Linked DNA regions of Anolis sagrei. The protein of the gene in region 1 interacts with the protein of each later gene in a pairwise test. Links are inferred from orthologs where the notes say so. Each region holds a gene or a part of one and is shown in the gene's direction. Other genes may lie near its edges.

Evidence for each region.
Region 2: the proteins of LMO2 (region 1) and IFT43 interact in binary tests that used the Homo sapiens proteins (3 or more experiments, as listed by UniProt). The two-hybrid records come from large-scale screens. The link is inferred for Anolis sagrei from reciprocal best matches to the Homo sapiens genes LMO2 and IFT43.

Annotation. Positions count from the first base shown.
Region 1 is NC_090021.1:268,079,628-268,087,532, reverse strand, and holds the start of LMO2 (rhombotin-2), read left to right. Parts: upstream 1-4,800; 5' UTR 4,801-5,360; coding exon 5,361-5,401; intron 5,402-7,905. UniProt on the Homo sapiens protein: Acts with TAL1/SCL to regulate red blood cell development. Also acts with LDB1 to maintain erythroid precursors in an immature state.
Region 2 is NC_090021.1:305,624,350-305,631,700, forward strand, and holds the start of IFT43 (intraflagellar transport protein 43 homolog), read left to right. Parts: upstream 1-4,240; 5' UTR 4,241-4,262; coding exon 4,263-4,373; intron 4,374-7,061; coding exon 7,062-7,145; intron 7,146-7,351. UniProt on the Homo sapiens protein: As a component of IFT complex A (IFT-A), a complex required for retrograde ciliary transport and entry into cilia of G protein-coupled receptors (GPCRs), it is involved in ciliogenesis.

The DNA of each region.
Region 1 (7,905 bases):
CTTCCTACCTTTGGCTTTTGGGACACAAAGGCTGTAAGCCACATTCCAACTATGTCTTATGAAAAGTAGTCCTTGGTGGGAATGGCATGGCAGCATCCATCTTCTCCTTAAGAAAAACTTGAGGATTGAATCATAAAATCATAAAAAATATATTAAAAAAAACATTGGAAGGCGCCCTGTGGGCCATCAGGTTTGACCCCTTACTCAGTGTGAGAAAGAAAGGACATAAAAGAGTCAAAAATAAAACCAAGACCATGGTTTCGATATGTGCTTTCTTCAAAGGTTAAAGAGGGACATTGAATATACATTCCAAGGATGGTTTTGGAGGACAATAAGTTGTTTCGTCTTGAGATGTTAAATTTTAGACATTGTTGAAACATCCATTGCCGAGAGACATGATGTTCAATGTCTAGCTGTGGCACCCTCAGCAGGTAGCTGTCCTCTTCTTGAAGACATCAAGAGAAGGAAAGCTCATTGCATCTCTAGGCGATTGGTTCTCTTTCTGAACTGCTGTCACTGCTGAGATGTTCTTTCTAATGTTAAATTGAAATCTTCCCTCTTGTAACTTCATACCATGAGACTTGGTCCTAAAGTCTTGGGCAGCAAAGAACAGACCTGCTTCTTCTTTGTGTCAGCCATAGAGGTATTTCAGAAATGCAAGCACATTATCCCTCAGTCTTCACTCCACCAAGATGAATATGCCCAATTCTTTCAACCCAGCTAAACACACCCAGTTTATATATATATATATATATATATATATATATATATATATATCTTTCTTTCTTTCTTTCTTTCTTTCTTTCTTTCTTTCTTTCTTTCTTGGATATATTTGTCCAGAAGGAGTTTGGTTTATAAATGGTTCGGGGCTAGGCTATTTGTCTAACCACATCTCCCTATATAGACCACCTCACACACTGCGGTCAGCGGAGGAGGCTTTGTTTTGGGTAATATCCCCCCCCCCCTCCAATAACTATGAATTCTCTGTTTACGTGAGACAACGTGTGTATGTTTTGGGGGGGAAGACTCCAAAACACACACACTATATTATTGTAAGAGTGCTATGTAGTTAGATCTTAGCAATTGGTCAAATTGTAACCCATGCATAGAGCAATCAGTCAGACATCCAGAAACCAGATATCGATATTTGTGTAATATTGGTGACAGCAAATCTGAATGCATTTGAATGGTCCCTTCCTTCTCCAAAGATTATCCATTGGAGATATAATCAAAGTTGAATAGGAAGAGCTTCCGGGTCAGAAGGAAGCAGGGCCGTAGCCAGAAAAATATTTTGGGGAGGGTTGAAAATTTCAGGGAGGGTTGAAAATTTCATGGGGGGGGGGGGTTAGGGTCACGCTGAAGCAAAGAGCACAGCAGGGGGCAGAGCAGCCTTCCATAGCCTGCAGCTCTGCCCCTGTCAACCACCTCCACCAAGTCTGGCATTCAGCCCCCCCCCCCCAACTTGGTTGCTTCGCTACATCGGCTATTGCTGCAAGTAATGACAGTGTGAATAAATTGTCAATATTTGCTTGAGATAGTGCTTGCAGTTCTGGAGGGACTCTTAATTTTTTGCATCTCATAGACTTAGCATTAGGATTTGGTTAACCAGTTAAAATTCATGAGTAAACCAGGTGTTTTTTTTAACTTGAAAAATTTCAGGGGGGGGGGGTTGAACCCCTACACCCCCCTCCACCCCGGCTACAAGCCTGGAAGGAAGTTACTGTTCTGAAAGTGTGACTAGTGACCTGCATTTTGAAAAGGGCACCAGGAAGGCAGGCTAAACCTAATTCCCTTTATAGCCCATGCCATGAAGGGTCTTTGTCCACTTGGCACCAATGCCTTTTGGAGGAGGCCCTGACACTTTGCCCTGAGATTCCCCTAGAGTTTGGACAGAAGCTGAAAGACAGATACAGTTTTAAAATTAGGCAATTAGAAATGATTCCACAGATATATAAACCCATTTTCCTAGCTCCAACAGACCTCACTACCTCCGAGGATGCTTGCCATAGATGCAGGCGAAATGTCAGGAGAGAATGCCTCTAGAACATGGCCATATAGCCCGAAAAAACCTACAACAACCCAATTAGAAATGCGCTAAATTTTCATCACCACCTGCTGCATTACATATTGGGGAGGACATATCTGCAAGGGGAATGGTACATGTCACCAACATTCGAGTGGGTTTTGATCTCCTGCTTCCCTTTGCTTAAGTAGCTGTAACTTATCCAGGAGCCACTGGAGCAGTTAATTCCCTGTCCCCGCCTGTACTTGAGAGACAGGCGCACCTCCAGCCTGGCACTGCTGTCACTGCACTTCTAAGGGGATTTCCACCACGAAGCAGATCTCGCTCCACGGTGTGAATTATCCTCCTGCCTCGCTGGAGGGGAGAGGTGAAGAAGGGAGCGAGGGAGAGGCTGGAAAAGATGATGAGATAGCGGTTTCTTTCCATTACTGGCTTTTATGTGCCTGCTCAAGCCTTCATCTGTATCCACATGAATGTCATTCTCAGATATTAGCTATCAGTCATATACGTCTACACTCATATCAGACTCTATTAGTCATTATTAGACATTAGTGTATATATTAGATACTATTAATCATATATATGCATATACATATATGCATATGTATACATGGGTGCATATGTGTATATATACACATACTCACACAGATATATGCATACATATACATATAATAAATATATATGTGTATATAATAATATCTAATAGTGACTAATATAATCTAATTCTTGTTTGCTTGAGACAGGTGTGAATGTTGCAATTGACCACCTTGATTAGCACTTAATGGCCCTGCAGGCTCAAAACCTGGCTGCTTCAAAATCTGGCTGCCAGTATTAAAAAATAATGTCCTACTAATAATGACTAATATGATTAATACTAGCTTGGGGACCCAGCGCTGCCCAGGGTTATTTGAGAAAGGAATTGTGTATCAAGGTTGGTCTTTCTCAGTTATTTATATGGCTCGCAATGGTCTCAGGAAGTTGGTGAAGGTACTGTAAGTCCCATCATCTCTGGTCCATCCTCCTCCAAACTGCTTCAGGATGGAGAGTGGGTCATAGGGGCTCTGTGTGCCAAGTTTGGTCTTGATTGGTCATTAGATGACTGTTGCAGAAGTCTTGGGAAGTGAGTGGAGGTACTTGAAGTCCCATCACCCATAGTCTGTTCTCCCCCAAACCTCACCAGAATATTGAGTTGGCCATGGGGGATCTCTGTTCCAAGTTTGGTCTTTATTGGTATTTGGATGAGTGTCGCTGTGGTTTCAGGAAGTGAGTGAAGGTACTACAAGTCCTATCATCCATCGTCCATTCTCCTTCAAACAGCACTGGTATGTAGGGTAGGTCAAGGGGGCTCTGTGTGCCAAGTTTGGTCTTGATTGGTCATTAGATGAGGGTTGCAGCAGTCTTGGGAAGGGAGTGGAGGTACTTGAAGTCCCATCATCCATGGACTGTCCTCCTTGAAAGTGCACCAGGATGTAGAGTGGGTCATGGGGGCTCTGTGTGCCAAGTTTGGTCTTGATCAGTCATTGGCGAGGGTCTCAGTGGTCTCAAGAAGTAAGTGAAGTTACTGCAAGTCCCATCATCCATTTCCAAATTTTTCCAAACTGCACCAGGATGTAGAGTGGGTCATGCGGGCTCTCTGTGTAAATTGTCATCCTGATCTATCATTGTTGGCAGTTGTAATGGTCTCAGGAAGGAAGTGCATGTATTGCAAGTCCCATCGTCCATGGTGCATCCTCCTCCAAACCACAGCAGGATGTAGAGTGCGTCATGGAGACTCAGTTTGCCAAGTTTGGTCTTTGTCGGTAATTGGATGATGGTTGCAGTGGTCTCAGGAATTGAGCAAAGGTACTGCAAGTCCCATAATCCATTGTCCATCCCCGGCCAATACCATAGAGAAATATAAATTGAAATTTTATACCAAAACTCCAACGTGGCTGTCACCCCTAGAAGCCTTTCAAAGATGAGAATTAGGCTGGCAAAAGTGGCCCACCTACAAAGATCTATTAAAAGTAGACAAAGGGAAGATGGTATTAAAGGAAGAAATTGCGATTAAAAAAAACTTTACTAACTATTCCTGGTTCCACAGCCAAGTTTTAAGTGTCTTGTGAAAAGTCAGGGAGGGGGCAGATCTAACTTCTTTAGGAAGGGAGTTCCACAACCGAGGGGCCACCATGGAGAAGGCCCTGTCTCTTGTCCCCACCAAATGCGACTGCGATGGTGGCGGGACCGAGAGCAGGGCCTCCCCAGATGATCTTAAAGTCCTTGATGGTTCATAGGGAGAGACACCTTTGGACAGGTAAAGTGTTTGTCACTGCTTAACAAGTAGAAAGGACAATGTGCAAATGGCTTAATGACTAGCCAAGGAGGAAGACAATAATTATTTGGGCAGAGAGAAGAGACATTACAATCCTATTTTGATGAAAGTCCTATCTGATAATAAACGCAACCCGGCCCCTAAAACCGATTCTACCTGTGTAGAGATGTGTATGCTGTCCCTGGGCAGAAGACAACTTTCCCTGTGCCCCGCTTGCCTCTTGGAGAGCCCGGCCTCGCTTCCCTCCCCAGAAAGCCCGCTTTCTTTCCTCCTTAGCAAAGGTCTGCGGCCCTTGAGTCCAGCGGTTACCCATACTATCAAGTAAAATATGAGTCCTAAATAACGAGATGCAACCACCCTGCGCGGCCAGGGCAGGGAAAGGCGAGCTCTGGCCCTTTAAGGCGCCCGCCTCGGTCGTCGTGAGAGATGCGTCGGCTGCAATTATTCCCGGGGGAAGGGAGGGGTGGGGGGCCAGGGAAGAAGAAATAGACAGCTGTCTCTTTAAAATGTCATTTCCTTCTATTGTATTGGAGTCGTGATCAGGAAAGAGGATGTGAAAGCAGAGCGGCTCGGAGGGAGGGAGGGAGAGAGAGAGACAGAGAGAGAGAGAGAAGGAAAGACACAGACACAGAGAGAAGAGCTTCAGAAGTGGGACCAGCAAGAAGAAGAAGAGGAAGAAATAGATGAAGGAGGAGCCGCTGTCCTGCTGCTGATGGTGGTGGCGGCGGAGAAGGAGGAGCAGCAAGGGATGCTGAGCGCTGCCTAAAGCAGCAAGGGAAAGAGAGAGAAAGAGAGGAGGATTCATCCCGGGATCGAAGCGCGGCAAGGACCAAGCGCCTGGCCAGGATGGGAAGCTGAAAGCCCGCCGGGCTCCCGGGAAGAAGGGTCTCTCCCCGAAAGGCCGCCTCCCCACGCCCCGGGCTCCTTTGGTCTGCCTGCCTGTATCCTTCCTCTTCTTTCTCCCTTTCCCGAAGGGAGCCCCGTGGATGTGGTCGCGGGTGGGGTGACCCCGAGCCAGAGCTGCCAATGTCCTCGGCCATCGAAAGGAAAAGCCTCGAGCCCTCCGAGTAAGTGGCCTTTCCCTCCTGCCTTCCTTCTTTCCTTCCTTCCCCCTCGCCTTTCCCTTTTTCTCGGGGATCTGGGCATACTTTGGGGAGTCCTACTTTGGGAGAGAAATCCCATCTTCTCCAGGGGGAGGTCCGCCCTTGTCCTGCCTAGATCCCCGGTTTTGGGGTCCTCCTTTGGCGACTGGGCTTGCCAAGTGCAGCTAGGGAAGGGAGCAAAGAGAAGGACGCATTCGGACCCCCTTTCCCCTCTTTCCTTCAGTCCCCAAATGCCTACGATTGCGGTAAGTTACAACTTTAGAGTTCAGGGAAAAGGGAAATGGAGTGGTTAAGGGAAAGCGAGGACCGCAAAGAGGACTTCCAGTGTGGATATATATGTGTGTCCCGTCAAGTTACCTGTCACCTTAGGGCGACCCTATAGGGTTTTATGCATTTTCGAAGGCTTTCCTGGCTGGAATTGCTGGGTTGTTGTAAGTTTTTTGGGCTCTATGGGTTAAAGCGCTGAGCTGCTGAACTTGCTGACAGGTCGCAGGTTCGAATCCGAGGACCGGAGTGAGCTCCCGCTGTTAGTCCCAGCTTCTGCCAACTTAGCAGTTCGAAAACATGCAAATATGAGTAGATCAATAGGTACCGCTCCAGCTCCATGGGTGCTCCATGCAGTCATGCCGGCCACATGACCTTGGAGGTGTCTATGAACAATGCCAGCTCTTCAGCTTAGAAATGGAGATGGGCACCAACCCCCAGAATCAGACAGGATTAGACTTAATGTCAGGGGAAAACCTTTACCATTACTATAGCCATGTTCCAGAAGCATTCTCTTCTGAATGCTATCTATGGCAGGCATCCTCAGAGAATGTGAAGTCTCACAACCTCTGAGGATGCCTGCCATAGATGCAGGCGAAACGTCAGGAGAGAATGCTTCTGGAACAGGGCGACACAGCCTAAAAACTTACAACAACCTTATAGGGTTTTCTTAGGCAAGGCATATTCTTCCTCCCTCTGGAATATAGCCTGCAGCACCTGGAATTCCTTAGTTTCCCCTCCAAGTTTCCCCTCCAAGTTTCCCTTAGTTTCCCCTCCAAGTCCTAACTGGGCCTGACCCTTTTGAGCCGAAGATCAGTGTGAATGTGGTGACTTTGTATGGCATTTAGGCCCTTTTGATGCAAAAAAGGCATACTGGCAAAAGCAAAGAGAGATTTGCAGCTATAGTTATTCTGGTGCTGGTTCAATAGGAAGCAAAAGTCTTTTGATGTCTTATGGGTTCCCCGATGAGAGAAAAAGTGGGGACAAGGAAGAAGAAGACATTTGGGTCAATGGCTCTCCTTTCCCTTCACTGTCATCCGCTGCCTTGGTTGAGAGATTCAGGATGTACCTAGAGTGTAGAATCCATGCACTTTGCCACTATTTTAACTGCCATGGCTCAGTGTGATGGGATCTTGGGAGTTGTTGTTTTACAAGGTCTTTTGCCTTTTCAGCCCAAAGAGTGTTGGTGCCTCACCTGACTACAAATCTCAGGAGTGCATAGCCTTGAGCCATGGCAGTTCAGGTACTGTCAAATGGCATTAGTACTATAGTAAAGATGTGCCCACACTGATCATTATGGAAGTGCTGGGTTGCTGTGGTATGATCATGTTCCAGAAGAGTTCTCTCCCGACGTTTCGCCTGCATCTGTGGCAGGCATTCTCAGAGGTTGAGAGGTCTTACAACCTCTGAGGATGCCTGCCATAAATGCAGTTGAAATGTCAGGAGAGAATGCTTCTGGAACATGGCCATACAGCCTCAAAAACTTACAGCAACCCAGTGATTCTGGTCATGAAAGCCTTCAACAAAATTATGGAAGTGATTTATGTGGATGGAGGTGAGGAAGCAGATCATAGTACTTTCCAAACACTAGAATTTGTTTTCAGGCTCTTTTTCCTCCTTCCCAGCCCAATTTAATAGGCTGACTTGACTAAAAGGATGCTATCAGATGATCAGATGTAGGGTCAACATCCACTTTTTCATAATTTATTTATTTATTGTGTCAGAAGCGAGTTGAGGGTACAGTTACAATGTATTTAAAAACACAAAGTTTTAAAACTTGGCATTATGCTAACTGTCCTTTGACCAGAAGCTGGCCTCTGGTGTCGCTGGGAGAAGGTCCTCCATTGTGCATGTGGCAGGGCTCAGGTTGTACTGTAGTAGGTGGTCTGTGGTTTGCTCTTCTCCGCACTCGGATGTTGTGGACTCCTTTGTAGTCCCATTTCTTAAGGTTAGCTTAATAAAATTCATAATGCGAGCATCGGGTCACAACAAAACCTTGATCACAAGTGCCTCTGTGCATCAGCCACAACAAGAGCTATACACTGTGGAATTAATGCAGTTGAAAACTACTTTGACTGCCATGGTCCATTGCTATGGGATCCTAGGAGTTGTATTTTGATGAGGTGCTAGGACTTTTTGGCAGAAAATATTAAAGACTTTTAAGTTTAATTTTACTTTGGGAAGAAATGACTTGGGGCCATGGT
Region 2 (7,351 bases), about 38 Mb from region 1:
AGACTTGATCTACACTACTATGTGATGCTGTTTGGAACTGCATTTATATGGTCAGTGTAGACCCATATGCAGTTCAGTGCACCCCAAACTTCATTATATGTGCCTACACTGACTATATAATGCAGTTTCAAACAGTCATAGTGTAGTTCCTCTACATCAGGAGTCCCCAAACTAAGGTTCACAGGTTGGATACAGTCCTCCAAAGTCATTTACCCACCCCTGCCCTAAACTTTAGACTTAGGGTCACTCTGAGTCTGAAACAACTTGAAAGCAAACAACAACAACAACAACAACAACAAAAACAATCTTAATTAGCTTGACTATCTCATCAGCCAAAAGCAGGTCCACATTTCCCAATTCAATACTGGTAAGTTAAGTTTATGTTGGTTAAAATGATTCTTCATTTTAAATATTGTATTATTTCATGTCTATTTGTACTACAAATAAGATATGTGCATAGTGGAATCTTATTACTATATATGTGCCCTATGATAGGACTGCTGGGTGCTTCCATTCATAGAGAGCAGAAACAAAATAACTCTGTAATTGTATGGGAGAGAGTGGGTTTGCCTATGTGTGAAAGGCCCTTTCTTTGAACTTCTTGGCCTCTTTCTCAAGTGAAAGGGCCTTAAAAGCGTGTTGCCTCCATAAAACGTTGGGCATGACTGGGCAGCCTTTGACTGTGGACAGAAACAGGCAGCTGCTGAGGCTTGTGGCGTCTCTTGCCCAGTGATCAAGGCAGGCTGCGCTTCATTTATTTTATTAGGCAAAGTCCCCAAATGTTGGGTTTGAGAAAGTCTTGCTGAGGGAAGTCAACAGCGCTCTCTGGCGGGAGATGTGCGCTTCTTAAAAAGAAAACACATCTCCCAGGAGGAGCCCCTGTTTATATATAGGAGTGGTTTCCAAGAAAGCTTGCCCCAGAGCCCAAAAAAAGAGTGGGTTGGGTGTTTTGGCCTTCTGTCCTCCTCCCAGTTATTTCCAGCTGTTAAACTGCATCTTGAAACTTAAAAGCATAAGTCTTACCTAATGTGACCTTTCCAGGATATGAGAAATCTCTCTATTTATTACAGAAATAGGATACTGTGGTGAGGTTTCGTTTCAAGGCCTGTTAGGATGGAAAGATGCATATTAAAAACATCATATGTACTTGTGGCCCCCATTTATCCCTCAGGGAGACTTAGCTTTAAATACCTGCATGTGTAAGAATTCAGTTTAAGGATAAATACCCCACAGGAATAAAAATCTAAAATCATATTACAGTCTATAATTGTTGGAGTTAGGGATACAGGACTCTCAGGAAAGTGAAAAAGCATAAATAAATAAATTTGTGCCCTTTTTAAAACCCAAAAAAACATATCTCTAGGAATTGGCAACCCCACCTCTGAGCATTCCCTGTAAAATAGTTAATAGGCGATATAAAGGCACAACTACTCACAACTTTACTTGAGTTAGGGAGGAGTTGTTGGATCATGCAAGGAATCAGTGAGTGCAGTGTGTATCCACTGTAAAATAAGATGCATTAAGCTGATTGATCAGGCAATGCCTAGGGAGATGGCTGAACTTGAGACTTTTGAATACTGTTACATTTTTGTTCAGGCTTAGGCTATGCAGGGGCAGAGAGAGAAGAAGAGAGAAGCAGAGAGAGAGAGAGAGAGAGAGAGAGAGACTGATTTGCTTCTTGGCTGCTAAAAGAAGGTTGCTCACATGGACACAGAAAGGACCATTTTAAATCTCTCATGTTGTTGTTCATTTGTTCAGTCGTCTCCGACTCTTTGTGACCTCACGGACCAGCCCACGCCAGAGCTCCCTGTCGGCCGTCACCACCCCCAGCTCCTTCAAGGTCAGTCCAGTCACTTCAAGGGTGCCATCCATCCATCTTGCCCTTGGTTGGCCCCTCTTCCTTTTGCCTTCCATCTTCCCCAGCATAATTGTCTTCTCCAGGCTTTGCTGTCTCCTAATGATGTGGCCAAAGTACTTCAACTTTGTCTCTAGTATCCTTCCCTCCAATGAACAATTGGGCATTATTTCCTGGAGGATGGACCGGTTGGATCTTCTCGCAGTCCAAGGCACTCTCAGAACTTTCCTCCAACATAAAAGACATTTAGTAAGTTGATACAGCTGATCATATTGTACAGATGTTGTTCTAAATTAAGAAGAGTAAACTACTTGTTCTTAACTGTTCACCTGCATGGCATATTTTCTTTCCCTGGCAAGGCAGTATGTGGGCTGGTTAAAGATGAACTACATGTGGTTTATTTTTCATAACACCACATAGTTGAATTTTGTCTTTCTATGCTCACATGTGTTCTGCAGTTGGTGGTGGTAGGCCTAGCAGTTGGTGATGAAAGGATTAATTCAACCCTTAGTTCTAAAGGGTTGAGTAATCTGTAAGTAAGAGTTCATGGGTGAAAGCAATTAAGGATGGAGGCATGCAAGAGATAGTGTTTCTGGATATAATGAACTAGACTTGGAACTAATCTTCGGGAGAAAAGTAATTGTCTTATTTTGCTGGTAGATGCTGCTGGTTTTCCCCCAGGTTTGTGGATTTTTGGTATCCTTACTTGTCTTCAGTACTCTTGTAACCCTGGAATCTTGAATCTCTGGACTGGCTTCTGACTAGACTCTTGATTCCTGGACTTCCTCATTGAACTCTCGGCATTTGACCACTGAACTGGACCTTTTGACTACGGTGTTATCTTGAACATGCAACAGTGTTTGCTGTCAGTTTTTGTTTTATATTCTGTGGCTGACTGCTATGTTTATGTTTTATATTTTGGACTATTATAACAGCCAGAAAGTAAGTGTTGTTTTAATTAAATTGTTTAGCATAAACTGGAAGTTTGTTTGATCCATCTCTACCTTAATATGGTGTTTTGGACAACGTGCAATGCACCAATGCTTCAACCATTCTGATTTTGCCCTTATCTATAGCCAGTGTTCCTACGAGTATCCCTGTAGATCTTAAAAAGCTATTTCTTGATTGAAGGTGTTGGTGTACTGGCTGATATCCAAACAGAGGATGGGCCGGAGATGTCAATGCCTTGGTCCTTTAATTGCTGGCTGCTACTTTCCAGCGAATATCAGGTGGTGCTATACCGGCTAACAGTATAATTTCTCCAGCGTAAACATGTCTCATTAATGTGACATGTCTCATTAATAGTCACATCCACTGTTTTAATGTGCTGAGATGTATTCCATACTAGTGTGCATACTCAGCAGCAGAGTAGCAAAGTGCAAGGGCTGTATCTGGTTGTGATCCCCAGGTTGTGCCAGTCAGCTTTTGTATGATATTGGGTTGCTCTGAGTTTTCTGGGTTGCATGGCCATGTTTCAGAAGCATTCTCTCCTGATGTTTCACCACATGATATGAGGATGATATTGTTTCTAGCACCCACTTTTTGCTTGATAGTGAAGAAGTGCTTCTTGTAAGTCTTAAAGACCAGGCATGGGCAAACAGGGTTAAACCCCTGTGCCGGCAGGACTGAAGACCGACAGGTCGCAGGTTCGAATCCGGGGAAGAGGCGGATGAGCTCCCTCTATCAGCTCCAGCTCCTCATGAGGGGACATGAGAGAAGCCTCCCACAAGGATGATAAAACATCAAATCATCCGGGCGTCCCCTGGACAATGTCCTTGCAGACGGCTAATTCTCTCACAACAGAAACGACGCTCCTGACATGACAAAAAAAAGTCCAAAACACTTGGAGGGCCTAAGTTTGCCCATGCCTGCTGTAGACAATGGAGATATTGAAATAATTCAAGATTTCCCCCCATCCTTTGGTTAAGTCATTAATCAGAATGGGGATTGCAGGCAAAAAAATAATGAAAAGAGGGTAGCTATGAAGAAGTTTGTTTGACAAGTCCAAGTGAACTTGTTACTGGGGTTGCGGCTCCTTTAAGACAGTCCCGCCCAAACTCTAGTCCTCTTGGGCAGCTGGACTTCAACTCCCAGAAGCCTTAGCTGCCTTGGCTAATGAGCAGGGATTCTGGGAGCAGAAGTCCAAAACACCTGGGAGACGAGACCGGCTTTAAGGGCAGCCTGCGGTTGCTAAGGACGCTGAAAGGGGCGGGGCTTCCTCTAGGAAGCAGGCGGCTCTCCCTTTCCCTGCGCGCGCGACAGGGGGCTTGCACCATGGAGGACGACTTGGATTTGGACGAAGAAGTCTGCAAGGGGGTAAGGCCAGCCTGGGGTTGCCATGGCGACGGCGGTGGGAGGGGGCGCTTCCTCCTCGCCCAGGTTTTCCCTCCCGCTCTCTCTGCGCAAAATGGCGCGGCCCAGTCGGCCTCGGCCTGCGGAGCTCGACAGCCAGCCGTGCCTCTCTCCTCAGGCCGAGTCTCTCTGGGGGAAGGGAGAGGAAAAGAGCCAGGACTCCGCGGTGTGCTCCTTGTTACTTTTACCTTGTTGTTGTTGTTGTTGTTGTTGTTGTTGTTTGCCTTCAAATCCGGCCTAACACGACTCTGTCACGGCTTTCTTGGCAAGATTGGTTAATGGCCTTCTTCAGAGGCTGAGAGAGTGTGACTTTGCTCAAAGTCACCTAGGGTGTAGCTACACCAGGCCTGGTCAAACTTGGGCCTTCCAGGTGTTTTGGACTCCAACTCCCACAATTCCCAGCAGCCTCAGACACTTTCCTTTTCCCCCTCAGCTACTTAAACTTGGGCCAAGCAGCTGAGAGGGAAAAGGATGGGGCCTGAGGCAGTTGGGAATTGTGGGAGTTGGAGTCCAAAACACCTAGAGGCCCAAAGTTTACCCAGGCCTGATCTACACAGTTCTTCCCCAGCTTATTTGTCTGAACGCATCCGCTCCTATGTCCCAACTCATAATCTAAGACAGGGGTTCTCAAACTAAGGCCCGGGGGCCAGATACGGCCCTCCAAGCTCATTTACCCGGCACTCACTCAGGGTCAACCTAAGTCTCAAATGATTTGAAAGCACACAACAACAACAACAATCCTATCTCATCAGTCAAAAGCAGGTCCACACTTCCCATTGAAATACTAATAAGTTTATATTTGTTAAAATTGTTATTCATCTTAATTATTGTATTGTTTTAAGTGTTTTTTGCATTACAAATAAGATATGTGCAGTGTGCATAGGAATTCATTCATGTTTTTTTCAAATTATAATCCGGCCCTCCAACAGTTTGAGGGACTATGACCTGGCCCTCTGTTTAAAAAGTTTGTGGACCCCTGATCTAAGATCATCCGGGGAGGCCCTGCTCTCGCTCCCGTCAACAGCACAGATGTGCCTGGCAGGGACAAGAGACAGGGCCTTCTCGGCTGTGGCCCCCCGCCTATGGAACACGCTCCCAAATGAGGTAATTATTATTATTTATTATTTACTTTATTTGTATACCGCACTATCTCAGCCCGTAGGCGACTCAGTGCGGTTTACAACAGGACAATATACAAAGTGCATAGCATTAGCATCTAAACAATCACTAAAGCAGTTAAAACAATACAACAATACATCAGTAAATGAACAAACATCAATACATCCAATAAGGTAAGATCCGCTCCCTTTCTCCTGGCTTTTAGAAAAAAAATTAAAATTATGGTTTTGGGACCTTCGGGCAGTAGAAGTAAAGGTATGCAGCATTTCAGGAAGACGATGACAGCAACAGCAATTTGACGAACAAGACTGTTTTATTGCTTATGGAACTATGGTTTTTATTTGATTTATGTTTGAGTGTAGTGTATAATTGTAATTATTTGTACTGGCATTGAATTTTGCCATTACTTATGTGTAAACCGCTTTGAGTCCCCCTTGGGGTGAGAAAAGCGGTATAGAAATACTGTAAATAAATAAATAAATAAATAATAATAATGCACTGTAGAACCAAACCTCAGCTGATGACAAAGGCCTACTATGTTTAGGTAAGGACTTCCTTCAGGTCCAAATAGGTTTCAGTTAATTGTTCTTTTGTGTAATAATGAAGAAACCGAGGTATCAGATGAGGTAGACTTAAATCTGCGAAAGCAACCACCTTTTTGTCTCAAGATTAGTCTCACATGCCTTACAAGATCCTTTTGTAAGCTCGCAGAGTCAGTTCTCACTGTAGCTGCCATTGTTTGTAAAATCTTTTGACGCAAATTCTTACTGTTTCCTTTTTTCAGTGGAAAAGTATTTCCAATAAGTCTATTGCAGTCTGCCGTCAAGTCATTTCTGACTTATGGCCACCCTAAAATGACCTTATCACAAGGTTTTCTTGGCAAGAACCTGCCTCAGAGGCACCTGGAAGGAGTATTGCTCTGATAGCCTTTCTGACTACTGAGAGCTATACGTCGATCAGTCTTATCCAGAATCATTCAGTGGCACAGATTCAAATTTTGGTTTTTAATTTTTAAAAAATTCCTTTTAAAAAACATTTATTTTCAAAATTATTGTGAATTGCTCTGCACAAAATTATACAAAAATTCAAAATATTTTCCATTGTTAACATATGTTTACATCATTTCTCCTCTTTCTCCCCCCTCTCCTTCCCAGAAACAGTTTTCAGATTTTGCTGTACTTACTACAATGGTTTGATCATGAGGATAATCTTGTTTAATTCCTTATAATTATCTTTCCCTTTATTCTGTAAATTAAGCCTTTCCATTTTGCCTCCCATGACTTTCTGATTTGGACCATCCTGTAGTAACTTTTCCTTTTGCTAATGTAGTTTTGGAGACGGTAGTCTGCTAAATATTTAGTGAATTAGATACAAATTTTGTTTTTAAAGCAGAGGTACACTGAATTTTGATAAGATCTTCATACTCTTCTTAAAAAGATTTTTCAAAAAGCTTTTAAAGATTTTTTTGTGGAATCCCTACCATGCTTTTGTGGAACACAGTGGGGAATTGCTGATTAACCTGTCTATCTTTTGATCTGTCTATTATGTCTGGGAAAACTTTGGACAATCAGAATTTGGGACTTAAGACTTTTAAAAGCCTCAACTAACATTTTTAACATTAAAGGATTCTGGGGGTTGCAGTCCAAAACATTTGAAAAGCCAAAAGTTCTCAATCCCAACATACATTTTTGTCGCTGGACTTTTGAACCATTTGGACTCTTTGTGTTTTATGTAGATAGCAAAAATGGGTCGACGAGCTCATCCGGATTTCACCCATGATGAAAATCGTCGTAGCAGGATCAACTCTCCTCCTGTAGAGGTAGGTGTATTTAAATTGGTCAACACTGCTTACAGCCTGGGGTTTAATTCTCTAGTAAAGGGAACCAAATGATTTTTTTTGTCTAAGGTAGACATCTTAGACACAGGTGGAAATTGAGATCCTGTAAGTAAAACAAATTATTTCTGCTGCTCTAGAACATATTGTGGAATACTGTCTTTTCCTGCAGTTTTAAGTCTCTTCACATG